7 linked regions of the Ovis aries genome follow. The protein of the gene in region 1 purifies or fractionates together with the protein of each later gene. This does not show direct contact. Links are inferred from orthologs where the notes say so. Each region holds a gene or a part of one and is shown in the gene's direction. Other genes may lie near its edges.

What was found.
Region 2: the proteins of SQSTM1 (region 1) and HTT purify together in Homo sapiens (affinity purification with western blotting; 4 studies listed by BioGRID and IntAct, with this or other methods). This does not show direct contact. The link is inferred for Ovis aries from reciprocal best matches to the Homo sapiens genes SQSTM1 and HTT.
Region 3: the proteins of SQSTM1 (region 1) and NLRP3 purify together in Homo sapiens (affinity purification with western blotting; 3 studies listed by BioGRID). This does not show direct contact. The link is inferred for Ovis aries from reciprocal best matches to the Homo sapiens genes SQSTM1 and NLRP3.
Region 4: the proteins of SQSTM1 (region 1) and EPDR1 purify together in Homo sapiens (affinity purification with mass spectrometry; 3 studies listed by BioGRID and IntAct, with this or other methods). This does not show direct contact. The link is inferred for Ovis aries from reciprocal best matches to the Homo sapiens genes SQSTM1 and EPDR1.
Region 5: the proteins of SQSTM1 (region 1) and MTOR purify together in Homo sapiens (affinity purification with western blotting; 4 studies listed by BioGRID, with this or other methods). This does not show direct contact. The link is inferred for Ovis aries from reciprocal best matches to the Homo sapiens genes SQSTM1 and MTOR.
Region 6: the proteins of SQSTM1 (region 1) and BAG3 purify together in Homo sapiens (affinity purification with western blotting; 3 studies listed by BioGRID and IntAct, with this or other methods). This does not show direct contact. The link is inferred for Ovis aries from reciprocal best matches to the Homo sapiens genes SQSTM1 and BAG3.
Region 7: the proteins of SQSTM1 (region 1) and VDR purify together in Homo sapiens (affinity purification with western blotting; 3 studies listed by BioGRID and IntAct, with this or other methods). This does not show direct contact. The link is inferred for Ovis aries from reciprocal best matches to the Homo sapiens genes SQSTM1 and VDR.

The regions. Positions count from the first base shown.
Region 1 is NC_056058.1:1,199,408-1,203,201, reverse strand, and holds part of SQSTM1 (sequestosome-1), read left to right. Parts: coding exon 1-108; intron 109-867; coding exon 868-948; intron 949-3,794. UniProt on the Homo sapiens protein: Molecular adapter required for selective macroautophagy (aggrephagy) by acting as a bridge between polyubiquitinated proteins and autophagosomes.
Region 2 is NC_056059.1:116,433,097-116,436,890, reverse strand, and holds part of HTT (huntingtin), read left to right. Parts: 5' UTR 1-488; coding exon 489-1,015; intron 1,016-3,518; exon of another isoform or gene 3,519-3,723; intron 3,724-3,794.
Region 3 is NC_056058.1:38,410,650-38,414,882, forward strand, and holds the start of NLRP3 (NACHT, LRR and PYD domains-containing protein 3), read left to right. Parts: upstream 1-1,335; 5' UTR 1,336-1,372; intron 1,373-3,333; 5' UTR 3,334-3,395; exon of another isoform or gene 3,396-3,562; 5' UTR 3,563-3,600; coding exon 3,601-3,883; intron 3,884-4,233. UniProt on the Homo sapiens protein: Sensor component of the NLRP3 inflammasome, which mediates inflammasome activation in response to defects in membrane integrity, leading to secretion of inflammatory cytokines IL1B and IL18 and pyroptosis.
Region 4 is NC_056057.1:51,240,857-51,245,186, forward strand, and holds the start of EPDR1 (mammalian ependymin-related protein 1), read left to right. Parts: upstream 1-1,247; 5' UTR 1,248-1,477; coding exon 1,478-1,782; intron 1,783-4,330. UniProt on the Homo sapiens protein: Binds anionic lipids and gangliosides at acidic pH.
Region 5 is NC_056065.1:41,657,927-41,661,720, forward strand, and holds part of MTOR (serine/threonine-protein kinase mTOR), read left to right. Parts: intron 1-8; coding exon 9-117; intron 118-806; coding exon 807-1,039; intron 1,040-2,305; coding exon 2,306-2,506; intron 2,507-3,208; coding exon 3,209-3,343; intron 3,344-3,794. UniProt on the Homo sapiens protein: Serine/threonine protein kinase which is a central regulator of cellular metabolism, growth and survival in response to hormones, growth factors, nutrients, energy and stress signals.
Region 6 is NC_056075.1:39,287,658-39,292,105, forward strand, and holds the start of BAG3 (BAG family molecular chaperone regulator 3), read left to right. Parts: upstream 1-1,395; 5' UTR 1,396-1,748; coding exon 1,749-1,934; intron 1,935-4,448. UniProt on the Homo sapiens protein: Co-chaperone and adapter protein that connects different classes of molecular chaperones including heat shock proteins 70 (HSP70s), e.g. HSPA1A/HSP70 or HSPA8/HSC70, and small heat shock proteins (sHSPs), e.g. HSPB8.
Region 7 is NC_056056.1:138,726,554-138,730,347, forward strand, and holds part of VDR (vitamin D3 receptor), read left to right. Parts: intron 1-24; coding exon 25-139; intron 140-3,029; coding exon 3,030-3,201; intron 3,202-3,794.

The DNA.
Region 1 (3,794 bases):
AACATGGGCACTTTGGGTGGCCTGGCTGGGAGATGGGCCCACCGGGGAACTGGAGCCCACGTCCTCCTCAGGCAGGGGAGGCCCACCCTGGCCCTGCCACGGAATCAGGTGAGGGTTGTATCTGCTGGCCTCTGAAGGATGAGATGTGAGGGCCTGCAGAGCTGGAGGGCTTTCCCTGTGCCCTAAAATCCTGCATGCCTGTGGCTGGCCTAGGCACTTTGTGGCCGTTTGTGCATTTAATCCTCATAAAATCCTGCAAAGTGCAAGCATCATCTCCATTGTACATCTGGGAAAACTAGTGCCTCGGTGCTCAAGGCCACTAATGCACCTGCCCCGGTGGCCCTCCCATGCAGGTGGGAGGCCCCTCCAGCGCCTGCGTCTCCAGTCGGCTCTCTTCTTGTTCATGCTAATTGTTAGGAAAGTCACAGCCAGGTTTGCTCAAGTCTTGTAAAACAGTTCCCAAGTTAAAAATTTACACATAGCTTGCATTCTGAACTTTTAGATTCTAGTTTTATTCTGATTTTATTAGTATTACTATGTCCTTTGACTCACCTTGTCCTTAGTGACAAAGATGAGGGTATTTGTTTGAGTAAATAATGCTTTTTCCGGGGGAGGGGTAAATAATACATTATACTCTGTGTACAGAGTTTCTAGGCACCAGGAAGGTAGATGAAGGGGGAGTGGTGTGAAAGACAAAGGGGCCTAGGAGGTGGCCTAGAGAGGGGGAGAGAGGGAAGCAATAGGGTATAGGCTGCTGGGAACAGGCCCCGGGAGTAGGGCTTCTGGGACAGACAGGACTGTGACAGGTTTCAGTCATTGAGAGAGATGCTTTGAATTAAAAGTATCTTTTGTTTTTTGAAACCAAAGCCTCTGGTCCATCAGAAGATCCCAGTGTGAATTTCCTCAAGAATGTAGGGGAGAGTGTGGCGGCTGCCCTCAGCCCTCTGGGTAAGTGCCCCTCCTTTGACATCAGCAGAGCGTTTGGTAACCAGTGTACAGGCGGCTGTTCTGTGGCTTTCAGCTGGGATACTGCAGAGGAGGGGCAGCTGATGTGTCTTTGAGACCAGTAAGGATTCGCTGGCCTCATATCAATCAGTCTTGACCAAGTGCTGCACCACAGGCCGCTTGAGGTTGAACTCCCTGACAAATTCTTTAGCTTTCCACACAGAGTGAAGTGGAATCAGCCAAGAATCAGCCAGCATTTGGTTGGGTAATCCCACTAGGGAGGGTAACCAGGCTCAGTTTAAGGCTGCCCTTCATCTTCTTCCTTTGGAAGACCACTCTGTATTTCTCCTTACTTGAGCCTTGGGGTTTCTTTGAGGACTTCAGTGAGTAGTTAGCTGAGATGCCATATTGCTTTTCTTCCCTTTTCTGCAACCCCCAACCTTTCCTGGTGCTTCCTAAGAACTGGGCTTGTGCCACTGTCAGAGGGAAAGGAGTGAGGGAGGAAGGTTCTCGTGTCTGCTGCTGGATTCCCAGGGTGCAGGCCCAGGGTGGGTGTCTGGGTGGGTGAGCTGTGCACCTTCATAGAGTGACTTGGCCCAAGGCTAAAAATAAAACTTCAAACAGCACTTGCTGTGTTGTGGCCATAAGAATCAGCTGATGAAGGTGACTTATGATGGATCCATGATGCCATCTTTGTGACTGCAGTGGCAGGAAGTGTTACCTGGTCTGTCCAAAAGTGGTGTCCAGTGTCTGAAAGAATGCTGTAGGAGGGTGTCCAAGCTCACCCACCACCCGCCCTGTGGCTCACAGAGCATGACTGCCATTGCTTCCAACCTGAGACCATTTCTGCTCACATTGAAGCAGCTTTGAAGTAGCAGTGACATCTTGGCATCACTGCTACATGAAATAGATCTCACACAATTTCTGCATTGGAGTTAAAGACTTTTGAGCAAGTGAGGAAAAATAATTAGTATATTTAATGCTTTCTAAGGAGGGTAACAGTGGAGTAGAGATGAAATAATTGGGAGATAGGTTATTCCTAAACTCTGCCACTCACTTAAGACATAGTGAAGACATAGTAGGATTTTAAGTAATCCCAACTAATGGGTTGTTACTTAGAGGCCATGGAAAATTTTTCTTCGGAAGATAGTAAATGGACAGTGGTTCTCAAGTGCACTGAACATCAGAATCACCAATGAAAGGTTGATTTTTATTTTTTGTTTTTGTTTTTTTATGGGAGGGTATATATTTTGGTGTATGGAAACTCTTAAAACTGATTATCCTGAAGAGAAAAGTTTTCTTTTGAAAGAATGAACAAGATAACTTGGGAAGTCACAAAACCACATCTACATTCAGGCAGGAGACTGTAAAACAGTGAGGAGTTCCAGGTCCCTTGATTGGTTAAGTGGATTTTGGGTAGGGCATGAGGGTCGATGTGTTCTGAAGGCTTCCCAGGAGACTGTCACACTTGCTTTCCATCCTGAGACCCATCTGAGCTTGTGAAGTGTTTCAGAACTGGACCTGGATTCTCCACTCAGGACACAAGGGAATAATTTTAGAAGTGTTCTGAGGTCTTCGGCAGTAAGAATTAAGGCTCTCAGGTCTTTCAGAGTGGCGGGAGTGCTTTCTGCTAACTTGGGAGGAGTCTGGAACCCTACAAAACAAGTTTCAGTGGAATGTGTGTTTGAGTAGCTATTCAAGAGAGCCATTCGAGGGATGGATTAAACTCTGTCTTTGGAGTTACAGGTATTTTCCTTTCTTTTGAGGAACTAACAGGATAACTCAGTCTACTAACTGCTTAGAAGGGAACATTAGTTCCAACAGCAGGGGCCCAGGAGGGATATAACCACTAATACCTCTCAGAGGGCAGTCTGTACAGTGAGTCAGCGACTGAGACCTTTTTTTGATAAGTGCTGTGAGAGCCAGCTGAGCAAGAGCATGAGCCCAGGGCTGTACCTGGCTGGAGGTCACAGCCACTGACTCCTAGGATGTAAAACAGCAGGGCCGTGGAGTCTTCCACAACCCCTACATAGAGGCTTTGGGGATAGCAGGGCAGAGACTGTGGTACAGTCTTCTAAGCCCTGAAGTCTCAGATTATCATCAAGTTGGAAAAACTCTAATTCAGTAATCTCGAAAATTCATTACAGAAGAGTCGCATCATTCACCCATTTTAGAAAGTATATGGGTATCCATTGTACTGTTCTTCTGTCTTTTCTGATTATTTGAATGTTTCACAATGAAAACTGCAGGGGAAATGGAAGAAGAAAAACAATGTAAATATTGCAGATGGGGTACCAGTTGCTAAGCCTGCTTTTATTTTCTCTGCTTGCTCCTCATACTCTACTAAAATAATAGTGAAGGGGTTAAACAAAATAAAGCAACATGGATAAAGAAAAAGGGAAAAAAATAATGGAGGACAAGATAAAACAATCTCATCAAACTTTGGAAGATGGAAAATGGATGGAGGAAAGTAACCAAGGTGGGATAATTTGAGGATTAATCCTGGAGGCCCAACATAGGATGAAAGAATTCCAGAGAGAACAGAGTAAACTGAAGGGAGGAGATGAACAAATACAAGACAGTCTCTCGGCACTAGGACCATTAACCTCTGGATTAAAAAGGGCCCCAGATGCCTTGGACAAGGCCTGAAAAAGACCCCACACCAGAGCTTAAAATTGTCCTGTCAGAACCCTTGGGACAAAGAGAGACTCCTGAAACTCTGAAGGCTGCTGTAAAAGCTTGGGAACTTAAGGAGCACATTAAGAGCTAGAAGACACTGACTTCAAAAGTCTCATCTAAAACGGATTTTCAGCCTCGAATTCTGTACCCAACTAAAATGATCAAGTGTG
Region 2 (3,794 bases), on another chromosome or scaffold:
CTTCCCCTGTGGCTGAGCTGGTGAAGAACCCCTGCAGTGCGGGAGGCCTGGGTTCAGTGCCTGGGTGGGGAAGACCCCCTGGAGGAGGGAAAGGCTGCCCACTCCGGTATCCTGGCCTGGAGAGCCCCGTGGACTGAGTCCCTGGGGCCGCCGCTCCTTTGCTCTCTGTGAACCACCCGTCCAGTGTAGGTGCTGTGCTGAGTGCCCGTGGGAGTCACAATGTGGCCCTTGCTCTCAGTGAGTCTGTCATCCCTGGAGAGGTAACCGTGGGAACGGTTACTTCCAAAGAGAGTGATGCAGGTGCCGGCTCAGGGCAGGGCCTGGGGCAGGAGCTGCGGGGGAATAGGGCAGGCTTCCCCGCTGGCTCAGCGGTAAAGAATCCGCCTGCAATGCAAGAGAGGGAGATGCAGGTTTGATCCCCGGGTCAGGAAGATCCCCTGGAGACAGGAGATGGCTGTCTGCTCCAGTATTCTTGTCTGGAAAACCCCATGGACAGAAGAACTTGGTGGCTACAGTCCATGGGGTTGCAAAGAGTCGGACAAGACACAGACACACACAGACACATGCACAGACACACAGACACACACAGACATGCACAGACACACACACACAGACACAGACACACACACAGACACAGACATGCACAGACACACAAACACACAGACACACACACAGACACAGAGACACACACAGACACAGACACACAGACACATGCACAGACACACACAGACACAGACATGCACAGACGCACAGACACACAAACACAGACACACACAGACACAGAGACACACACACAGACACACACAGACACACAGACACACACAGACACACACAGACACAGAGACACACACACAGACATACAGACAGACACAGAGACACACACACACACACACACACTCTCTCTCTCTCTCTCTCTCTCTCTCTCTCTCTCTCTCTTACTTTACCTCTGTCCCCACAGGGAGCTCAGAGGAGGAGCTAGACCGGAGCGGACAGCGCAGGAATGTACTTTTATTCGGTGGGTGAGATCAGTGTTCGGCCTTCACTGTTTCGCTCGTTCCATTAATTTTGCCCCGGTTTTAGCTGGGGGCCTCTGGCGCAGCACACGCGGGGCTTAAGGGAATCAGGCAGCGGATTCAGAAAGCTGTGTCGTTTGTTACCTGTGTTCTTGCAGCCTAGTCCACACATGAGGAGAGAGACGCAGGTCCTTTTACAGCTTGAATCTGTGTGGGTCACTTTTCTGCTGTGACAGCCGTAAGTCGCGAGGTGGCTCAGTTCAGTGCTTGTCAGCTGTTTCTGGGTGCCGCCCCCAGGAGTTGTCTCAGAGCCCAGGGTAAGAGGCTGCCCACAGAGGGGCTGCTGCCTGTAGAGCTGGGAGACCCGGGGAATGCAGCCCATTCAAGGCTTTCGGCAGATTTTCACTTTGGAAAGGAGCCGTGGAGAAGAGAGTTTGCCTCCTAACATATTGGGAGAGGTCAGTGTTCTTTAATTTCCTTGATAACTTAAGGTCTTCAACTAGGTGAGCTGCCGTAAGTGAGACTTTAATGTTGTGGCTCAAAGAAGAGAGCATTTAAGCTCTCATAGTGCTTTCTTTTTCAAATTGAGGTATGATATATACGTACACTCAGGCGCACACACACACATAGTTGCTGGTGTTCACCCCCTCAGTCATGTCTGACTCATTGCAACCCCATGGACTGTAGCACCCCAGGCTGCCCTGCCCTTCCCGATCTCCCAGAGTTTGTTTGCTCAAACTCATGTCCATTGAGTCAGTGATGCCATCCAACCATCTCATCCTCTGTCACCCCCTTCTCCTGCCTTCAGTCTTTCTCAGCATAAGGGTCTTTTCTTAAGAGTCAGCTCTTCACATCACGTGGCCAAAGTATTGGAGCTTCAGCGTCATTTCAGTTCAGTTGCTCAGTCGTGTCCCACTGTTTGTGACCCTGTGGATGACAGCACGCCAGGCTTCCCTGTCCATCACCCACTCGCAGTTTACTCAAACCCATGTCCATTGAGTTGGTGATGCCATCAAACATCTCATCCTCTGTCGTCCCCTTCTCCTCCTGCCCTCAATCTTTCCCCTCTTTCCTGAGTCTCTCCCATCAGGAAGCTTCCATAAGCCTCTTATCCTTATCTGTCAGAGGGCAGACAGAATGAAAACCACAATCACAGAAAACTAACCAGTCTGATCACATGGCCCACAGCCTTGTCTAACTCAGTTTCAGTGAGCCGTGCCGTGTGGGGCCAGATGAGACGGGCAGGCCATGGTGGAGAGCTCTGACAAACTTGGCCCACTGGAGAAGGGAATGGAAAACCACTTCAGCATTCCTGCCTTGAGAACCCCATGGACAGCATGAAACGGCAGCTTGAGCATCAGTCCTTCCAGTGAATAGTCAGAGTTGATTTCCTTTAGGATGGACCGGTTGGATCTCCTTACAGTCCAAGGGACTCTCAAGAGTCTTCTCCAACACCGCAGTTCAAAGGCATCAATTCTTTGGCACTCATCCTTCTTTATGGTCCAGCTTTCACATCCATACCTGCCCACTGGAAAAACCATAGCCTTGACTAGATGGACCTTTGCTGGTAAAGGAATGTCTCTGCTTTTTAATATGCTGTCTAGGTTGGTCATAGCTTTTCTTCCAAGGAGCAAGCATCTTTTAATTTCGTGGCTGCAGTCACCATCTGCAGTGATTTTGGAGCCCAAGAAAATAAAGTCTGTCACTGTTTCCATCTTTTCCCCATCTATTTGCCATGAAGTGAAGTGATGCTATGATCTTAGTTTTCTGAATATTGAGTTTTAAACCAGCTTTTCACTCTCCCCTTTCACCTTTATCACGAGACTCTTTAGTTCCTCTTCACTTTCTGCCATTAGGGTAGTGTCATCTGCATATCTGAGGTTATTTATATTTTTCCTGGCAATCTTGATTCCAGTTTGTGCTTCACCCAGCCTGGTATTTCGCATGATGTACTCTGCATAGGAGTTAAATAAGCAGGGTGACAGTATACAGTCTTGACGTACTCCTTTCCCAATTTTGATCCCAGTTCACTCATCAGTACCTTTTTTGGTGTGCTCTCCTCCCCTTCCAGGCCTTGGTAAATTTCACATCAGTTTCCATTCCCTCAAAGGCAAAGACTGTGTGGCATAAGTTGAATCATCCTTCTGTGCCTTGAAGCGGATGCCTTGAGCCTCATCCTCGTGTGTGTCAGCTGCTTGCTTCTCTCGCCGCCAGGCCGTGTTCCATCACTCCGCTGAGCTGTTTGCCCACTGGGACGTGTGGCTTGTTTCCATCCCCACACTGTTGAAGCGAGTGACTCCAGAGGGCGGGGCTGGGGGGGCCTCTGCCTCCTGTGGTCACTTGGGACCCAGGCTCCCTCCATCCTGTCACCCTGAAGCCTTCTTGTTGTCTTTGGCTGTATGTTCAAAAACTGGGTGTTAGAAGTGTCTGTTCCAGTTGGGGGAAGCTAAAAGAAGGGGGTGGTGCCCTGGGCAAGCCACGGGGCAGAAGCTCCAGCTGCTACTTGGTTCCCGTTTCGTCTGCGAGAACAGAGTCACTCGTCTCTGCCTGGCTGCAGGGAAGCTGGGCCGTGGGGCTTCTCGGCAGGAAGCTTGTGTCTGAGAAGGGAAGCTCGGTGTTTTGGTGGGTGACCAGCAGCCCGCAGCCCAGCTCATCAGCGAGTCTCTCTCAGGAACGAGACCAGTGGGGGACATGGTCACCTGTCCATGTGGTGAGAGGCCCGCTGGCTGGTCACGGGAGCCCCTCTCCGCACGCCATGGGCGTGGCCTCGCATCCAGGCCT
Region 3 (4,233 bases), about 37 Mb from region 1:
GCAAGCTGCTATTCAGCTTTGTGTTCATGTTTGACACACACTCGGTACTCCATCAATTTTAGTTGAACAGATAAGTCAGTGAGTCAGAGAGTAGAGTTCGTGCCTATCCAAAGGAATTGAAATCAGGATCTGATCTTGAAGAGATATGTGCTTCCATGTTCACTGTGGCTTTATTCACAATATCCAAGACACAGAAACAGCATAAGTGTTCATAATCAGAAGAAAGAATAAAGACAACTAAAGCATCCATCAGTAAATGAATGAATAAGAAGGTGTGATATATATATATACATACATATATATTTAGAATGTTGGAATATATGTATATATATTGGAATATATGTTGGACTATATATATTCTATATATATGGAATATTTTATATATTCATATGACTATTTCATATGTATATTAGCATATACATATATGAAAAATTTCACAGTGGAATGTTATTCAGCCATGATAGATAAGGAAATCCTACCATTTGCAACAACATGAATGGATTTTGATGACAAAATGAAATAAATGAGAGGAAAGATGAATATCAAATGAAATCACTCATGTAGGATCTAAAATAGTCAAACTCATTGAAACAGAGTAAAATGACAGTTTCCAGGGGCTGGGGAGAGACAGGAAGAGGGAAATGTTAGTCAGAGAGTGGGCGGTTTCTATTATGCAAGATGGATAAGTCCTGGAGATCTGCTCTACAGCACAGAGCCTGTAGCTAATAATACTAAATTATGTGCTTAATATTTGTTTATGGTAGATCTTATATTGTGTTCTCACCACACACACAAAGTCAATTTTCCCCATATAATAGGGTGGGGAGAAACTTTGGGAGGTGATAAACATGCGTATAGCCTTGATGGTGGTGATGGTTTCACAGGTATATACTTACCTCAATTAAGTGGTGAAGAAAAGTAACAGTCAGTGGTTACTGTATTGTCTACTGACCTCCTCTATGTGACAGCTTGGAAATGAATGGGATCTGCAGTTTGATAGCCAGGTTATGCTTTCGATTGTCTGTTTATGCTGCTATGGTATTCTCCATCACAGACCCCTCTGTGTCATCAAAACACTCACATGGCTGCTGTCAGAGTCAGAGGGAACATTCATTGAGCAGCAGTTGAATTTCCTCCCCTTTTCTACCCCAGTGGCCATTGAGGGGAGGCCAGGTATCTCTGGCTGCAAGCAGGCTCAGCTTTGAGAGCTTCAGTTTGGAAAATCCAGTGATGTGAGTAACCGTTAGTCTCTGCTTTTGCCTGTGATGCAAGCCTGTTTGTTCCAAACTGAGACCACATCCTTCCTGCTGGGTTGTGACTGCTATAAATTCGTTTAGTTTCTCCTCTGGCTGTTCCCGAGGCTGACGTTTGGGTGAGTCCAGCTCTGGAGCGGGGTGGCTGAAATAGCCTGGGGAAGAGTGGGGAGATTGTTTCAAGGGGCAGAATTTGACTAGAGGTTCCTTCTGCCAGCCTTCAAGTCTATCCTTCAACAATGTTTCTGGAATGTTTCTTTTATGTTTATCAATATTTGGTCGCTATGTGTGCCAGTGCATGTGTGTGGGGAGTGGGGGTCAGGGACAGTGACCATGGCTCACACTCACTCCCCTAGAAAGTGGATAGATGGGATGCATATAAAGAAATGAGCATGTTTAGAAACCAAGGGACAGAGAATGTAAAGGTCAGGATGGGGGTGCGCTAAGGTTAGGGATAGGGTAGCACAGAGGAGAGGCAGAGTCCTGATGTGGATGGAAAGATTGATGCAGTGGTACCTGAGAGGGTTGGCAAAGCTGGTCGATCTGTCTGGAGTAGCCCCTTTCCTCCTGCCCCCTGCCAAATGCATAGGGGATTGACTTGACAGGGGACGGCAGGGGGTGGGTGATGCATGATGCAAGGAGTAGAGAGGCAGGAATGGAGACAGGAGTGTTGAACATGTTTAAAATGTCTTGAACATTAAACTGGGTTTTTATGAATTCCAGTTTGGAGAGTTCAAAAGCTTCATAAGCTTTCCCTGGTGGCTCAGATGGCAAAGAGTCTGCCTGCAATGCAGGAGTCCTGGGCTTATAGGGCTTCTCCCTTCCTATGATCCTTTTCTAAATCCAATAATATGAAGAGATCAATTCCAAACAAAGCCAATGTGCTCATCCATCCAAAATCTAGAAATTGTGTATGATCAAGAGATATAGCAGCTGATTTCAAGTCTTTGTGGAACTTGAAGTCTAGTTAGGAAACCAAGACATTGAACATTACAGTGTGATTGAACACTACTCTGTGTGATAAAACCTGGGAAAGTGCTTTTGTTTTTTAACAATCTGATTTTTGGTTTTCCCTGGTGGCTCAGACGGTTAAGAATCTGCCTGCAATGCAGGATGGGTTTGATCCCTGGATCAGGAAGATCCCCTGGAGAAGGAAATTGCAAACCACTCCAGTATTCTTGCCTGGAGAATTATAAAAGAGCCTGGTGGGCTACAGTCCATGGGGTCACAAAGAGTCGGACACAACTGAGCAACTAACGTTTTCACTTTCATCTATATTTTGTTATCATCTTCAACCATTTTTTCCTCCTATTTGACTGAGATACCTACTTAAATGGTGGAAGAAATGTTCTCACACTTTTAGTGCCGAGAAAAATGCAATGTTAGGGGCATGACACAGAAATCAGTGACCCTAATGTAAATCCTGGCTGTGAAAGTCTGGGCAAGTCACTTAGACTAAGACTCAGTTTCTACTTCCATACCACGGAACTAGGAATATAATTTTTCAGTTTTGTGCATCAGTATAGCACCTAACTCATGAGAAGCTCTCAATAAATGTGAGTTCTAATAATTTTTATAATTGTGAATTTTGCAAGGAGACATTAAAGAAATGTATATATTTATCATTCTTCCTTATCACCCCAAGTTCCATCTCATTTCAGTTTTAATCAATCAATGTGTTGATAAAGGGTTTGTTGCAGATTATGCCTTCCTCTGCATGCTTCTATGTTCTCTTTCCTTCTCTCTAGACATATGCTGTTCTGTTATCACCATAATTACTCATTCCTGGCATCCTTTCTTCTCTTGTCCCTCATTCATCTTTCCTTGGTTCAAAACAGAAACAAGAAACCAGAGTCTTTCAGGTGGAAGGAAGGTAAAAAAATCTTTTCCACTCTGCCATTTTATAGATGAGGAACCTGAAGTTGAAAAATAGTGGAGAGATTGCCCAGGGTCATACATAGCCAGTAATCAGTGGGATCAAAGTGCTCTTGGTGATACATCAAGATAGCATCAGGAAGCAGTTTAAGATTACATTGCACTGTTAATGTGATTGTGTTGGTGGTTTTATTTCTCTCCATAGGAGCACCTTTCTTCCATGGCTCAGGACACACACCTGGGTCGAGCCAATAGGAAAACTTTCTGGTAAGAATTTGACTCACTTTTAAAAGCTAAAGATGGCAACTTGTTAGAATCCAGTGATATTTTTTTCCTTTCAATTTTCTGGGTTTTTGATACTTTAGTTCTCTCTGAGGGTAAATTTCTGAAAAGACATCTTAACCATATGCTGTTTGTACCACCTAAATTCCAAGTGTGGATTTATGCCCAAGGACTCTGACCAGGTCTGCAGATGATCATGGCAAGTGTCCGCTGCAAGCTGGCTCGTTACCTGGAGGACCTGGAAGACATAGACTTTAAGAAATTCAAGATGCATTTAGAAGACTATCCCAGTCAGAAGGGCTGCACCTCAATTCCTCGGGGTCAGACAGAAAAAGCAGATCACGTGGATATAGCCACCCTGATGATTGATTTCAATGGGGAAGAGAAGGCATGGGCCATGGCCAAGTGGATTTTTGCTGCAATCAACAGGAGAGACCTTTATGAGAAAGCTAAGAGGGATGAGCCAGAATGGGGTGAGTGGAATGAAGATAGTACTTTTTAAAAATCATGATAAAATATACATAAGATAAAATTTACAATCAGAAGTTTTAGTGTATGATGCAGTGCTGGTAAGCTCATTCACACAGTTGTTCAATCAATCTCCAGAACTCTTTTTCATCTTGCAAAACTCTGTACCCAAGAAACAATCTACCCTCCTCTCAGCCCCTGACAACCACTTTCTGTCTCTATGAATTTGACTATTCTAGTACCTTTTATAAGTGAAATCATAGAATATTTGTCTTTTTGTGTGGCAGCATAAACTTCCTCAAGCTTCATGCACATTGTCTCATATGGCAGGATTTCATTCTTGTTTAAGGTGGAA
Region 4 (4,330 bases), on another chromosome or scaffold:
ATGGCTGGATGGCATCACAGACTCGATGGACATGAGTCTAAGTGAACTCCGGGAGTTGGTGATGGACAGGGAGGCCTGGCGTGCTGAGATTCATGGGATCGCGAAGAGTCGGACATGACTGAGCGACTGAAGTGAACTGAACTGACAGTACATCATGTGAAATGGTGGACTGGAAGAATCACAAGCTGGAGTCAAGATTGCTAGAAGCAATATCAACAACCTCAGATATGCAGATGGGTAACAAAAGAGCCCCTCGATGAAGGTGAAAGAGGAGAGTAAAAAAAGCTGGCTTAAAACTCAACATTCAAAAAACTAAGATCGTTGTTTGGCATCTGATCCCATCACTTCATGGCAAATAGATGAGGAAAAAGTGGAAATAGTGACAGATTTTGTTTTCTTGGGCTCCAAAATCTCTGCGGACAGTGTCTGCAGCCACGTAATTAAAAGATGCTTGCTCCTTGCAAGAGAAGCTATGACAAACCTATTAGCATATTTAAAGGCAGAGACATCACTTTGCCAACAAAGGTCCATATAGTCAAAGCTATGGTTTTTCCAGTAGTCGTGTTTGTGAGATATGAGAGACCAGAAAGACAGCTGAGGACTGACAAATTGATGCTTTTGAACTGTGGTGTTGGAGAAGACTCTTAAGAGTCCCTCAGACTGCAAGGAGATCAAACCAGTCAATCCTAAAGGAAATCAACCCTAAATATTCATTGGAAGGATTGATGCTGTGAAGCTGAAGCTCCAATACTTTGGGCACCTGATATGAAGAGCCGAATTTTTAGAAAAGACCCTGTCTGGGAAAGATTGAGGGCAAGAGGAGAAGGGGGCTACAGAGGTTGAGATGGTTGGATGGCATCACTGACTCAATGGACATATATTTGAGCAAACTCCAATGAAGGACAGGGAAGCCTGATGTGCTGCAATCCATAGGGTCGCAAAGAGTTGGACACGAGGTGGTGACTGAACAGCAACAAAAACAGTTTGATAAAGGGACAGGGTTATGTGGGGTACAGCAAGTGCAGTGATCCAGCTTTCTTGATCTTGTGTTTGAGTTTGTCCTCCAGTGTTGGTTATCTGCTGAATACTCAACTTAGCAGAAGAACACTTTCCTTTTCACCCCACCACCCCACCCCCTTTAAAACGCGGATACCCTTCAGGATGCTAGTGGCACCACTGCCACTGCATTTCCTGTTGGCAGCAGAGAGCAAGTGAAAACAGTAGCGGCCGCCGGCAGCGGCCCAGGCAGAAACAGCTCTCACACGATTCACGGAAGCTTTCCCGTGGCCGATCCCGTCTCCCAGGCCTTGCGCATCCTGATCCCAACAGCTGGAAAGGCCCCCGCCGTGACCAGCAGCAACTTGGCCAAGATCCCCCTCGGGCACAGTTGGAGAAAGCCCCGCCGAGTGCCTGGGCTGCTCAGCGCCCCCTTGGGCGCGGGCTGGCTCTCTGGGGACTGCGGCCGCGGCAGAAGGCGATGCCTGGGCTAGCTCCCCTCCGCGTGGCCCGAGGGTCCCTGGACGCTTGGCTGCTGGGCGGCCTCTGGGTCTGCGCGCTGGGCTGCCTCTGCGGCGGGGGGACAGCGGTGCCGGGGGCCGGGGCGGGGGCTGGGGGATCTCTTGGGGCTCAGCGCCCTTGCCAGGCGCCGCAGCAGTGGGAGGGACGCCAGGTGCTGTACCGGCAGAGCACCGGGCGCTACAGTCGCGCCCTGCTGTCTTACGACGGGCTCAACCAGCGCGTGCGAGTGCTGGACGAGAGGAAAGCGCTGATCCCCTGCAAGAGGTACGCGGGGCGCGGAGAGCGAGGCCAGGGCGGCCCGGGGAGGGCGAGGTCGAGGGAGCTGCGCCGGAGTGCGGGGTTTCCAGCAGCTCGCGTCGCCTTCCTCCCATCAAAGATAAACTTCACGGAGAGGATCTCTTGGGAACAGCAGAGTTGGGGGCTGGGTGTCGGGCTGGCACACTGGGGGCGGCGTGCTGGCGGGCACTCAGTGAGACCTCGCAAGGCTGTAGCCGGTGAAGAAAGGTGGCGCCCCCGGGCCCTGGTTCGCCCACATTCAAAGGCTGCTGAGTCAGCTTCCTGACTCCTGGTGCCCCCTTCAGTCTAGGGCGTGTCTTCTGCACTATCTCAGCTTTTTCAGGAGACATCTGTGAGGGAGACACGACGAATACATATTTTATAAGAGGTTTTTTTTTTTTTTTTCCTTTTTAAAGGAATATGACAACTCAACCAAAGTGTGCGGGATCAGTTAAAAGAACTGTCACAACCGTTGAAATTTTAGTCTACTCCCTTAAAATTTCTTTTAAGCAAGTTTTACATTCGGTGATCAAAAAGCCTGTATGTCTGTATCTTCTTTTTTACAGAACATGATCTCTTACCTGTTGTTATTTGCTATTTTAATAGTTGGCCGATACCTATTTTTAATGGCTGCACAATATTCCACAGAGAGGTTATGCTACAATGCTTTTTAACCACTGGTGTGATTATTTACCTTTCTGCATCTGTTATTGCAAAGGACACCCTCTTTCCTGAGACTGCAGTTTGTTCTGACCCCATTATAACTTGATTTCTATTTTGGGATCGCCACCTGTCAGTTCCTTCTGCCTCATTCCTGTTTCTCTCTGTGTGTTCCTCCAAGGGTTATGCTGGCCTCTCATATGGAGCTGGCATAATTAGGAGGTGCCATGTGAATGTCCACAGTTTAAGGCTCCAGTGGGCAGTAAAATGTGGAGAAAATTTGATATCATTTCACCTAAAGGTGTTTGTTGAAGTATTAGGCATCTTGAAGACAGTATGCAAATGCAAGAATTGTTCAAAGCAATATATTTGAGAATGCAAAATAGTACATGATTGTAAACTACGAGTGCTGAGGAGGCCTGGAATAGCCGAGTCATCATGGGGTATTGGGAGTATCTTTTCTCTTTCAAGAAGATGAATGTTTTCTGTTAAGTCTCGAAGAACTTTGTATTAATAATAGCAAAATCCAGCATTTGAGTACTTGTTATGTACCAGGCATGGTCCTGAAAATGTTCCACATACCATATTATTTAGTTTAAAAATCACAACTACTGGACAATGCAGGTTTTATGATCTCCATTTTACAAGCAGAGAAATCTGGGGTCAAGGGAGATTGGATAACTTTCTCAGATCTAGAGCTAGGACTGGAGAAAGCCGAGTGGATTCTGACATCTATGATATACTGGGCTCTTGTTTGTTTACTTATTCATTCAGTCTGCATTTTTTGTGTGTCAGTCATTTTGTATAATCAGAGTGGGTCTTGGGTTTCAGGGAGGTTATGGTCTGGGGGTGGAATCATATAAGGAAGAATTCCCATATAGTGGGGTAAGGGATGAGTTGGGCTTGAGAGCACCCCAGACAAGCACCTAACCTGGAGGTGCTTCCTGGAGGAGGTGGAACAGGAGTGAGCCCCCAAATCCCTGGACGGGGTGATCATTAGGGGGAAGTGGGTGTGGAGGGAAGACTGATCCAGGAGGATCCATCCAGGTGTATTCTGGGACATCCTGCCACAGGCAAGGCTGAGAATATTCCAAGAACTGCAGGCCAATCACTATTAGACTGAAGCGTGGAGTATGGAGGGAGGTTGGGGATCCAGGGAAGGATATTTAAACAGTGGAATGCCATGGCTGGGTTTTTTAAAGAGCACTGGATGAATGGTTGAGAATAAAGAAGAACAAGAGAAGAAGCTGAAACATGACCTAGGAGATGTTTGTAGAGAGATCCAGGTGGAAGAGGGGGTATGGCAATGTGATGGTGAGAAGTGGACACTTTTGAGAAATTTTAAGGATACTCAAGAGGCTTATTGAAGGAGGTGCAGAGGATCAGATGGTATGCTGTAGGGTGGTGGTGGGGGAAGTCAGTCCTGGCTTGTGAAAGCTAATGGTACTGACGGCATTGAGTAGATGGTGATGCTGTTTGCTGAGATGGGATTTGGCTTCTGCACTTCTGAAGAAGGGTCAAGTACTGCTCTTTGTGTGCATTGTCCTGAAGCCTTGTATAGTGGTGGCTTACAGATGAGTCCATGTCAAAGATGGACTAGGATTGAGACAGACCTGGGACCTGGGACCCTACGCTGCAGTGCTCACACATGGACATACTTCTCCTCCAGCAACAAAATACAAAGAAACTGTATGGGGCTAAAAATAACCATGTGCATGCACAATTAGGGTGAATTCTGGATAAAGGATACAAAGAGACCCCAAAACCCAATTGCCACATTTGAAAGAGCCTGGAGCAAAAGCAGCCGATTATGTGCATGCCCCTGTACAAAACACCACTGATTAAGGGGTGGACAAACCACCTAAGCCATCCCCCT
Region 5 (3,794 bases), on another chromosome or scaffold:
TTTTGTAGATGAGTCAAGAGGAGTCTACTCGCTTCTATGATCAGTTGAACCATCACATCTTTGAACTGGTGTCCAGCTCAGATGCCAATGAGAGGAAAGGTGGCATTTTGGCCATAGGTAAGGACAGAGTCTCTGGTGAGGTGAGAACTGGAAATAAAGGACTGCTCACCTTTGTGTCCACTGCACCCTGTGTCTGCTTCCTACTGGATACTTAGTTCACATTTGTTTAAGGAATTTTAAGGAGCTTCATGGCTTTCAGTGTACTTACTCAGCTATTCTAGCAGCAGTCCTGAGACATAGTCAAAGCAGGTATTTTCAGATATCCATATATCTGAACCATATCTCAGAGCCATTAAGCAACTTTTCTAGGGCCAGTGCACCAGGGCTGAGACTAGAAGCCTGCTTTCATTCCAGGCTCTGTTTTCTCCATAGCGCGGTGTGGCATAGCGGGACTCACAAATAGAAAAGTAGAGTTGGGATGCATTGAATGAAAGGCAGGTAATTTTCAGCTCCCAGGAACTAGTCATCCATCCTGTGAACTATTATTCAGTCCCAGTTTGTTTTCCTTTTCTTCTTGGGAAAACAAATTGTATTTACTAAAATGAGGTCATTTTGCTTTATGTAAGTAGTTCTGGCACAAATGCCATATCTGTTGGTTGAAATGAAAATTGTTTGCATCCTTACTGTCTGGAGATTGCAGTCGGTACTTAAAAGGAAGAGGTCACTGGCTGTGTCCCTCTGAAGGCCACCTACTTTCCTGGGCAGCCTGTGCCCCTCCTCACCTTTTGCCTTCCTGTCTTTTCCAGCCAGCCTCATAGGAGTTGAAGGTGGGAATGCCACTCGGATTGGAAGATTTGCTAACTACCTTCGGAACCTCCTTCCCTCCAACGACCCAGTTGTCATGGAGATGGCATCCAAGGCCATCGGTCGGCTCGCCATGGCAGGGGACACTTTCACTGCTGAGTATGTGGAGTTTGAGGTGAAGCGAGCCCTGGAATGGCTGGGTGCTGACCGCAACGAGGGCCGAAGACATGCAGCTGTGAGTGTCTGGGGAGCAGTGCCTTGTGTCGGGGTACTTCATGTGATGTGCTCAGGGCCCTGGAAGGCAAAGAGTGAGAGGGGTGGCTCCAGGCAGAGGCACTGTGCTTCTTGGTGGCCCTGAATTCTGCCCCAAATCCCTTTCTCTCCTCACCCTGAGCTCCGTTCCTGAGGAGGAAAATTAACGTTCTCTTTCATTGCTTGAGAGGCAGCCCTGTGTGCAGTTCTTACCCTGACCTCTGATTTTCCAGTCGAAAATTCTTCCCCAGAAGGCACCGTTCAGCCATAGGAAAGAAGAGAAGCCACGAGGCTTACAAAGCCTCAGACAGCTGCACTATCTGCAGCATCCCTCTGTGAAGGTCCCTCAATAGCCTGTGGAATAAGGAAGTTCTGGGCTGCAGAGAGGAGCAAGGGAGGTACTCGCTCCCCCTGCTGGGAGAGTGGGTCTGCCTTCTCCCAGGCCTTTCCTGTTTATGTTTTAGTCATTTATTGATTGGTCAGTACACAGTCCAGACTTCCTCTTTCCCCTTGGCTGTTCTGCATTTGAGGGAGTGGTGGCTTCTACCCTCTTGTAGACGCACATCCTCCTTGCTCTCCAGGGCTCATCCTGAAAAAGACTGGTTTGGTGGGCTAAGAATCCAGGTTGGGAGGTGGGGGAGAGTCTGTCCTTAAGAGATAGAATCTATGAACCAGTGTGGTGGGAATAGAAGCTTTAGGTGGATCCTTTCCAGTCGCTTCCCTCTTTAGCAGGCAGCACCATGAGAAAGGAGCCTGCCTGGGTGAGGGGCCTGCCTCTGGTGCCACTCTCTAACTCTAACTTGGGGCAAACCGCCCTGCCCACCTTCCATTTTACCATGGTCAAATGAAAAAAGTAACAAGATTAAATATTAAACAGGAACATTCATTCAGTAAAGGTTTATTGAATGCTTAAGTAGTCCAGGTACATTCTAGGCTATTTATCTATCTATCTACTATCTATTCTAGTGGAGCAGTATATGAAACATCAAACACGGCTGCCCTTTCAGAACTTGTGTCCTAACTTTCCTGTACAAGCATTCTGTTTCTAAACACCCTGTGATAATGGACACGGAGATGTTTGATCAGTTTTACTGTCATTCTTAGGTCCCCAGGAATTCTGAGCTACAAGAGTGGGCAAGTGTGCCATTTTCCTAGTGTGTGTTGGCTCTGGCATGAAAAGAGGCTGTGTTCATGAGAGAACAGAGCTCTCTGATCCAGATGCAAGATCTCTGTGTGCTTTTCCTCCCAGGTCCTGGTGCTCCGTGAGCTGGCCATCAGCGTCCCCACCTTCTTCTTCCAGCAAGTGCAGCCCTTCTTTGACAATATCTTTGTGGCTGTGTGGGACCCCAAACAGGCCATCCGGGAGGGAGCTGTCGCCGCCCTTCGTGCCTGTCTGATCCTCACCACCCAGCGGGAGCCAAAAGAGATGCAGAAGCCGCAGTGGTACAGGGTGAGGAGATGGCTCCATTCCAGCCTCCAGCAAAGCACTGCAGCCTAGAGTGTCGCTGGGCTTAAAGAGCAGCAGTAGACCCCTGGCCACAGAGCTAGCATCATGTCTGCTTTGGTCTTACATGACATTTTAAGCTCAGTGAATTAGTAGTTATTTTGTTGTTTTTCACGAAAGCAAAGATCTGGCCGTAGCTACGCCATTATTTTATGCACCACTAAGAGTGAGACTACAGTGCCAGTTACGCTCACTGCCTTTTTAACAATTATAAGGTGTCTCTTCTCAGAGATGTGAAAGTAGGGGAAAATGAGTGTGTCTGGAGGAACAAAATGCAGTAAATACTGAGAAAACACCAATTCTCCTCTAGTGTTGTGAGTCCCATGCTGACTGCTGCTGCCAGGAGAACCTACTGAGGCTTGTCCTATACCAGGAGCCTTGAACATGGGACTGGATACCTGGGTTCTAGTCTTGGCTGCTCTGTGACCTTGGGCAAGTCACTTAGTTTCTGTTTTTAATCTGCCTCATGGTGGCATTGTGAGAGTTGAAGCTAAATTAGATGAAAGAGCTCAATGAGCTAATATTGTTGGTGATACTGGCACAAGTCCCTGAGCAGGCATGGTAACCTCAGAACCCACCACATAAATGGGCGGGCTGCTTTCTAACTCTGGGTGTTGTGTAATGAAAGCATTCTGCATCTCTCTGTAGCACACGTTTGAAGAAGCAGAGAAAGGGTTTGATGAGACCTTGGCCAAGGAAAAGGGCATGAATCGGGATGACCGGATCCATGGAGCCCTGCTGATTCTCAATGAGCTGGTCCGGATCAGCAGCATGGAGGGAGAGGTGAGAAGCCACTTCTGAGGAACAGTGGGGTCGGGTTCCAGGCTTCCCACGTGCCATTCTGAGAATGAGACGAGGCGAGATTCTCATCCTCACAAGCTTACATTTTATAGGGAAACAGGTAACAGACAAAGAAATAAGAGCATTTCAGACAGCAGCCAGATCTATGAAGAAATGGAGTGGAGGGAAACAGGATGGAGGGGGTGACTCCCTCCCTGCAGTGATGCCATTTGAGCTGAGACCACATGACATGGAGGAGCCAGCCTAGCGGCTGGCAGGGAGGTTGTCCATGCAGAGACTTGAGGGTGAAAGAGAGTTTGACAAGTTCAAGCAGGAAGGAAAGTGAAGCTGGTGCACCATGAGTGGGGAGAGGGAGGCAGGCCCCCACTGCGAGGCTCATAGTTAGTGGTCCACTCAGGCTCTTATTCTCACCCCAGGGATGATGTGACAGCAT
Region 6 (4,448 bases), on another chromosome or scaffold:
CACCTGGAAAGCCTGACATAGTACAGGGCTTAAACATCTCTGTGTTTTCACAAAGCTGAGTTTTTGTACTTCAAAGCTGGTAAGTAGACCTATGTAAGTGAGACCCCCATTCCATTGAAAATGATTGGCAGTTCTCTTCAGCATTTGCTCTAAAAGGAGTAATTTGGGGGTGGGAAGAGACTCCAAAAAAGTGTTTCTGAGGGTTCCAGAATGTCCTCTGCATTTGAGTTGGAATATTGGGCCCAATATTACTTAGCCCAAGGCATCTTCTCAAAAATGTTTCTGGGGAAGGGAATGATCCTGCAGGCCTAAAAATCTAAAATGAGACCTCCCAACATACCACCTCTGGGGGCATACTTTCTCTCTCTCTCCCAGAGGAAATGAGGTGCTTGGTGGAGGTTACAAGTGCAACCACCATTTCATTACACAAATTTTTTTTCATAATTTGTATTCTTTCCTACTTTTCAAAGGGCTTCCCAGGTGGCTCAGTGGGTAAAGAATCCGCCTGCAGTGCAAGAAACATGGGTTTGATCCCTAGGTCGGGAAGATCCCCTGGAGAGGGAAATGGCAACCCACTCCTGTATTATTCCCTGGACAGAGGTGCCTGGCAGGCTCCACAGGGTCGCTAAGAGTCGGAGGTGACTGAGCACGCATGATTTACACTACTTTCCAAATGAAGGTCAGATTAAGATAGCAAGAACCAACTTGCACCATCAACAAGCCCCAAACCCCAAAGAATGTTTTTTCTTTAAAGTTCTTCACTGCAACGACAGAGTCTACGTTTAAGACATGTGCTTCAGCAACATGCATGCGCTGATGCAATCTTTCTTTAGGATTCGAAAGAAAGGCAGGTGAATTTCTATTTGTACTTCCATTATTCGCCCTGGCTTGCTTCTGGTGTCGGATCAACATTCCAGAGCCCTTTCCGGACGGCCCTTAAGCCCATGGGGAAAAGTGATTAACTGAGGGTCACCAATGTCCCGGAGTATCAGTAATCTGGGGGTACAAAGGCGAGGTGGGAGAGACTCTAGTTTAATCCCCAACGACTTAAAAGGCTAACGATGAGTTTGTTTTTACACGAAGGAGCCAGTCCCGGGAACACCCACGCGGCTCGAAGAAGACCAAGCAAATCTGAAAACCGAAACCGGCCCAGGACACACAGATGACGTCCCCGGGGGTTCGCTCGACCTGCCGCTCGGCGACACAGGGATCCCGCGGATGCAAACCCCTCGCCCAGCTCAGGGAAGACTCCGCCAGGAGCCCCCGACCCGGGGAGCCGCGAATAGGGGGAAGAGGTGGCGGGGTGGAGGAGGGGCGGCCGGCGGAGGCCCCGCCCACGCCCCGCCCACGCCCCGCCCCGCCCCGATTATAGCTGATGACTCAGGGCGGAGCTCCGCATCCAACCCGCGTCGCCGCCAACTTCTCTGGATGGGACCAGAAGTTTCTAGCCGGCCAGTTGCTACCTCCCTTTATCTCCTCCTTCCCCTTTGGCAGCGAGGAGGCTATTTCCAGACACTTCCAGCCCTCTCCGGCCACGTCACCCCCTCCTTTAATTCATAAAGGTGCCCGGCGCCGGCTTCCCGGACACGTCGGCGGCGCTCCCGACTTTCCGCTCCGGCAGCGGCCAGCGAGCGACCCTACACCTGGAGGTCCGGCACCCCGCGACCCCGTGACCCGGCACCCCGCGACCAGGCACCCTGCAACCCAGCACCCCGGCGGCCGCCCCTCCGGGCCGACCCCGACCCAGCATGAGCGCAGCCACCCACTCGCCCATGGTGCAGATGGCGTCCGGCAACGGCGCCAGCGACCGCGACCCCCTGCCCCCCGGCTGGGAGATCAAGATCGACCCGCAGACCGGCTGGCCTTTCTTCGTGGACCACAACAACCGCACCACGACGTGGAACGACCCGCGCGTGCCCCCCGAGGGCCCCAAGGTGAGCAAGGCCCGCGCCGCACCCTTGCCAGTGGCTCCCCCTCCACCTTCCCCCCAGCCCCCCATCGACGGCCAGTCTAGGGACAGGGCCGGGCGGGGGCGGCTGGACTGGGCCCGGCTGCGGGGACGCAAGGCGCCAGGTGCCCGCCGGCCGCAGCCGGTGCCTCGGAGGTCAGTGAAGGCCGCCTGGAATGCACGGATCCCCAGAAGGACGCCAGCTCCCAGGGGGGTCGGCCTGCTGCGCCCCCCACGAGCCCACTCTCCAGGCCCGCCCTTGGCCGGCGTCTGGGCCAGTTTGGGGAGCTTCCCAAGAGGACTGCCCTCCCTTGGCCGTGTTTGGTTTCCGGGGGTCGGGCGGGAAGCGGGACCCGCGCGGTGGCACCAGGTCCCGTCCACCGGCTCCATTCGAGGGGCCCTGGGCCAGGAGACGACGGGTGGCCGGCCTGCTCAGCACCAAGGCCCGGGCCAGGCCCTGCCACGGTCTCCACCCGGCTTCCAGGGCTCAGATCCTCCTTTCTCTCTGCTGACCGTGCTTTGGCAGACGCCAGGGGACCGTTGGCAAGCTTCTGTGGGGGTCCTTTAGGGTCTCTTAGGAATTTTACATCCTCAAGTTCCTAAACTTGGTTGAGGGTATCTGGAGTTCACTCTCCCACCTCAGGCACAGAGTGACTCAGGAGACTGATGTAAATGCATTCCTTTTCTTTATTTTTTCCCTTCTGTATTTGAAATTAAAACTCTATTATTGTTTGAAAGTTGTCCTCACTAGGAATATATTCTAGTATGACTTGTTAAAAATAAGATGCAATCTTCCAGGCAATTTCTAAACTGAAGATGTGAGACTGTCTCCTAGTTGACTATTGCCTTAGATACTGCCTCACCCTGGTCAGAAAGAGATTAAAAAAAAAAAAAAATCAACACATTCCCTTTCTCGTTATGCTACTAAAATATTTAGGATTTTTTCTTATCCCCAATACACAAATAATTTAGTAGTAATACTTTTGTATTAGAAGTATGCCTCATTTACATATACGCAGGGGTGTATATACTACTTAATCCTTAGAACCATGAAAATTTGAAAATATAAACTTGGAATGAGTCTGTTAATTTAAAAAATTATAACTAATTGTACTGCTCTTGTAATTTTTATAACTTTGAGCTTTTTCAAAACGTAAAGCTTGGCAAAAAGAAATAGTCTGGGCAAAATAGAAGACATAAAGAGCTGGTAAGTTATTTTTAAGATTTAAAAATTCACAGAATTAAAAATGTTTTATAAACCATTGTTTTAGAAGAAAAAAATCTGTGTTAACCATCTTCAGTTTTATGCAGCTTTTTCCTTTAAAATATTTATGAAACTCTGGTGCCCAACAGTGAGATATTGTATAATCAGCAGCTTATGCTTATGAGAAATTAATTGTATATTTATTCCTGAAAATTATTTCAAGAGGCTGTAATTAGCTGGGATCGACATAACCATGTATTCCTTTCGCTTGTCTGTTCAGCCCATTATTGAGTGAAACTAAAGCTCATTTTAAACCAGCTCTGTTACTGCAGACTGCAAGGGTGTAGATCTTTACTGAGGCCAAAAAAAAAACCAACCTGTCTTTTTGAGGCTTCCTTCCTATAGAGACAGGAAGAGTCAGAATCCACTGGCGTCAGTGGTGGTGAGTGTAGGTCAAGTAGGAACGTATCCACTGTGAGTTCAGTGTACATGCCACATTGTTGGCGCTTGGTTTTCAACGTGAAACTCACCCAGCAGGTTGAGATCTTATGTATGATGGATGGTTAGGCTGTGGTTTTACAAACTTTTTCAAGGCAAGGGGGCGGGGGGAACAGGTTAAGTTACTGTTATTTTTCTCAACAAGTAGAACATAAGAGCTAGTAAATCAGAAGTTTGATGCCATAAAAGTTGATTTGAAAATTTAACAGAATTTTAAAGTTGAAAGATCGTTTAAGATCTTTTAGCTCAGCCTCTCTTTTTCTGAGAAAGAAACCCAGAGAGTTCACATGTGTTTCCAAAGGCCATTCAGCCAGGACCAATAGCAAAGAGAGACCTACACCGGAAAGTCCTATTTAAGAGGCAGTTTATTGTTCAGAGGAAGGTAGAAGAGTCTTAAATTTCTTAAATTTCTATGAAATTTAAGTGTGAACTGGGAAGGCTGGAGTACTTGATTGTTTTTCTGCCCTTCTGACTTTTGTGACTACTTGGATGGTGATGGCTGGATGTGATCAACTCAAAAAAAGAGCTGCTTACCAAATTAATTGAGATTTCTCAACGTGGCACTAGAACATAAGGAGAAAACTAACATTCACTTCGTTAGCTCTGTGGGCTTCATGGCTTTCAAGACTGTGCTTTGATGTACACAGAACAACTATGTGACTAATTCACTTTAACTTCTGTGAATGACACCTCACTCCAGAATAAATACAATGGAAAATAAATACAGTGGAAACTCTTTCAGTCAGTTCAGTAGCTCAATCATGTTTGGCTCTCTGGGACCCCATGGACTGCAGCATG
Region 7 (3,794 bases), on another chromosome or scaffold:
TGACACTCCTCCTTTCCCTTCCAGCCTCCAGTTCGCAAGGATGAGGACGAGGGGAACCATGCTTCGAGGTCGATACTCACTCCCAGCTTCTCTGGAAACTCGTCCTCCTCCTGTTCGGATCACTATACCTCCTCTCCAGGTGAAGCGGACAGCGCACTCCCTCCCCAAGGACCTAGAGCTTTCCCAGCCCACCTGCCCTTGGCTGCAGCCAGAAGGACAGCACTCACTACTGTGTGCTGCCCACAACAACCCCTTTTTAGAGAAGAGGTGTGACTTGCCCAAGGGCCTGTGCTGAGAACTCTGAGGAAGAGGCCAAGCTGTTGCCTGCAAAGCCTCTGTTCTTTCCTCTAAGCCAGGCTTCTACCCTGGGCTCCCTACCTGATTCTTTTCAGTGGTCCTTTGAGCCTGAGCCCTTGCTGCCGGGTGGGTTGTTTGTTGGTTTGGTTTTTGTTTTTTCCAACTTTATAAAAATGTAAGATGGCACTAGTGGTAGAGAACCACCTGCAAATGCAGGAGATGCAAGGGATGTGGGGTCGATCCCTGGGTCAAGATCCCCTGGAGGAGGGCATGGCACCCCAATCCAGTATTTTTGCCTGGAGGATCTCCTTGGACAGAGGAGGAGCCTGGCGGGCTACAGTCCATGGAGTTGCAAAGAATCGGACACAACTGAAGCGACTTAGCATGCACACATGCAATCGACATACAGCACTGTATAAATTTAAGGTGTATAACATAATGATTTGATAGATGTATATATTGGGAAATGATTGCCACAATAAGTTAGTTAACCTCCTAGAGTTACAAAGAGTTTCCCCCCGCCTCCCTGTGATAACATTTAAGATGTACTCTCTTAGCAACTTTTAAATATAGCTGACAGTGCTGTTAACGGGTCACCAGAGCCTGAGCCTGTGGAAGGTGAAATTCAACATGGAAGCCCACCTTTCCACTCAAGCTGCCTTCCGCTAATGTCCTGGAGGACCTGTCCCTTCCAACTCATCCTTGCTTTCTTATTGTGCTTCTCTACCATCCTTTGCATCTTCCTGCCTCATCCTCCCCTATCCTTGTCTTCATCCTTCTACCTCCCACCTAATCCAGCTGCCCTCTGCTGGATAGGAGGGCAGGGATGGAAAAGCTCCCTCCCCTCTGGGGAGCTGGAACCCTCAGACATGGTGCTTCCAGACTCACTGATGGATCTGTGCCCAGATACAGGGGTCTACAGAGACCCCTGCACAGATAACTGATCCCTGAGCCCCTCACCTTGTAGTTAACCCCTCTCCTGTGTTAATTTTCTCTATCCACCTTCCTACTCTTTTTACTTTATGGTATAATCATTTTTATCAATGAAGGTCAATCTGTATATTATACATTGGTTTGTACTTCAACTTTTTTCGGAGTATAATTGCTTTACAGTGTTGTAAAGCAACTGCACAATGCTATACAGTTTCTGCTGTAGAGCAAAGTGGGTCAGCTATACATGTACATACATCCCCTCCCTCCGGGACCTCTCTCCCACCAAAGCCCATTCTACCCCTTTAGGCCATCACAGAGCACTGAGATGAGCTCACTGTGCCACCCAGCAGGTTCCCACTAGCTATGTTTACACATGGTAGTGTGTACGTGTTCATCCTAATCTCCCAGTTCCTCCCGCCCTCTCCATACCTGCTCTCTGTCCCCATTACCATTCTTTATGTCTGCATCTCTGTTCTTGCCTTGCAAATAGGTTCATCTTGTACTTCGACTTTTAATAACAGCCCTGGTGGCTCAGATGGTAAAGCTTCTGCCTACAATGTGGGAGACCCGGGTTCAATCCCTGGGTTGGGAAGATCCTCTGGAGAAGGAAATGGCAACCCACTCCAGTACTCTTGCCTGGAAAATCCCATGGACGGAGGAGCCTGGTAGTCTACAGTCCATGGGGTTGCAAAGAGTCGGACATGACTGAGCGACTTCACTTTCACTTCACTTATGTTATTTAGAAGTTTTGATTTCCCCTTACAGGTTGATTAATCTGAGGTGCTCACCTACCCCCATGGTATGTTTGGTATGTGTGTGTGTGCGTGCTCAGTCGTGTCCGACTCTTTGCAACCCCATGGACGGTAGCCCACCAGGCTCTTTTGTCCATGGGATTCTCCAGGCAAGAATACTGGAGTGGATTGTCATGCCCTCCTCCAGGAGATCTTCCTGATCCAGGGATCGAACCCACATCTCTCTATGTCTCCTGCATTGGCAGGCAGGGTACTTAGGCAGAGTACCTGCATTTACCACTAGCACCTGTATTATATCATATTTTCATGCCATTCAGTACATACCTAGAATATCATTTTTGAAGCTGCATAGTTTTCTGGGGTATAATGTACAATAACACATCTAAACCCCCTATCATTGGATATCTAGATTTTCCCCCCAGCTCTCGATGAAGATAACAGCATGCTTGTGGCTAAATATTTGCACTCATTCTGAATTTTTCCTTATGCTGAATTCATGGACATAGGATTACTGGTCACAGAGTGTATGTGACTGTAGGCTTTTGACCCTCGTGGTCAAATTGCGCTCTAGATTAGCTGCATAGCTGTGTGCCTCCTTTAGCACCCCAGCACTGCACAAGGATTGCCTAATCTCCTGCATCTTCACAAATACTGGTGTCAACCTTTAAACATATTTGCTTCTAGTTTAGAGGTGAAAAGTGGATGTTCTTCTTGGCTGTTCTTTGATCACTAGTGAGGCCGAACACTGTTTTCCACAAGTTTATTGGTTCCACATTCATCTTTGACTCTTGATCATTAGGAATGACATGCAAAATCACTCTTAAAGAAGTCTCATATCTCAGAATGTCTCTGCTCTTTGATTTTCCTGCTTCTTTACTCTGTTGAAGAAAGACGCGGGGAACCCCAGGGGGACGCCTGGGTGGAAGTGACTTTGGAGAGAGGCAGTCTTGCTGAATTCCCAACTGGCACTGCTGCCAGAGAACAGGAGGGCCTCACAGGAGGCAGGCTGGCTCAAGTAATTCCTTTTCTTCCCTCTTTCTTCCCCAGACACAACGGAGCCAACCAGCTTTTCCAACCAGCATCAGAGTGAAGAAGACTCCGATGACCCTTCTGTGACCCTGGACCTGTCCCAGCTCTCCATGCTGCCCCACCTGGCTGACCTGGTCAGTTACAGCATCCAAAAGGTCATTGGCTTTGCCAAGATGATCCCAGGGTTCAGGTAAGGAGCTTCTGGGGCATCCAGGAGACAAAGTCAGAATCCTATCCTGAGCCCAAAGAAGTCTTGGAAATTCTCAACCTACTGCTTCCCAAAATACACCTTCAGGTCCTATCCCAGACCTCCTCAATCAGAATCTCTAGGCGAGGTCCAGAAATCTGTATTTAAGAAGTGCAGCCTCTCCAGCATTATGGGGCAGGCCAGCAGTGGAAAGCCACGCATCCTTCTCAGTGTCTGTGTGATAGAACAGACACTGCCCGGTGAAGCTCAGCACCAGGAATTCCAGTGTTGCAGCCAGTGTGTCAGAACTGGGTTGACAACTCTGAGTTTGCTGCTGTGTCCACTCCAGCTGCCTTGAATCTAATTCTCATATTATCTTTTTGTTTTAAAAATATTTAATTTATTTATTTGGCTGAGCTGGGTCTTAGGTGTGGCGCGTAGGATCTTTGAGCTTCGTCGAGGCATTCGGACTCTTAGTTGCGATGTATCGATCAAGCCCAGGCCCCCTGCATAGGGAGTGTGCGTGGAGTCCTAGCCGCTGGATCACCAGGGAAGTCCCTCATGTTAACCTTTTAAATTAAACCTACATTAATCCT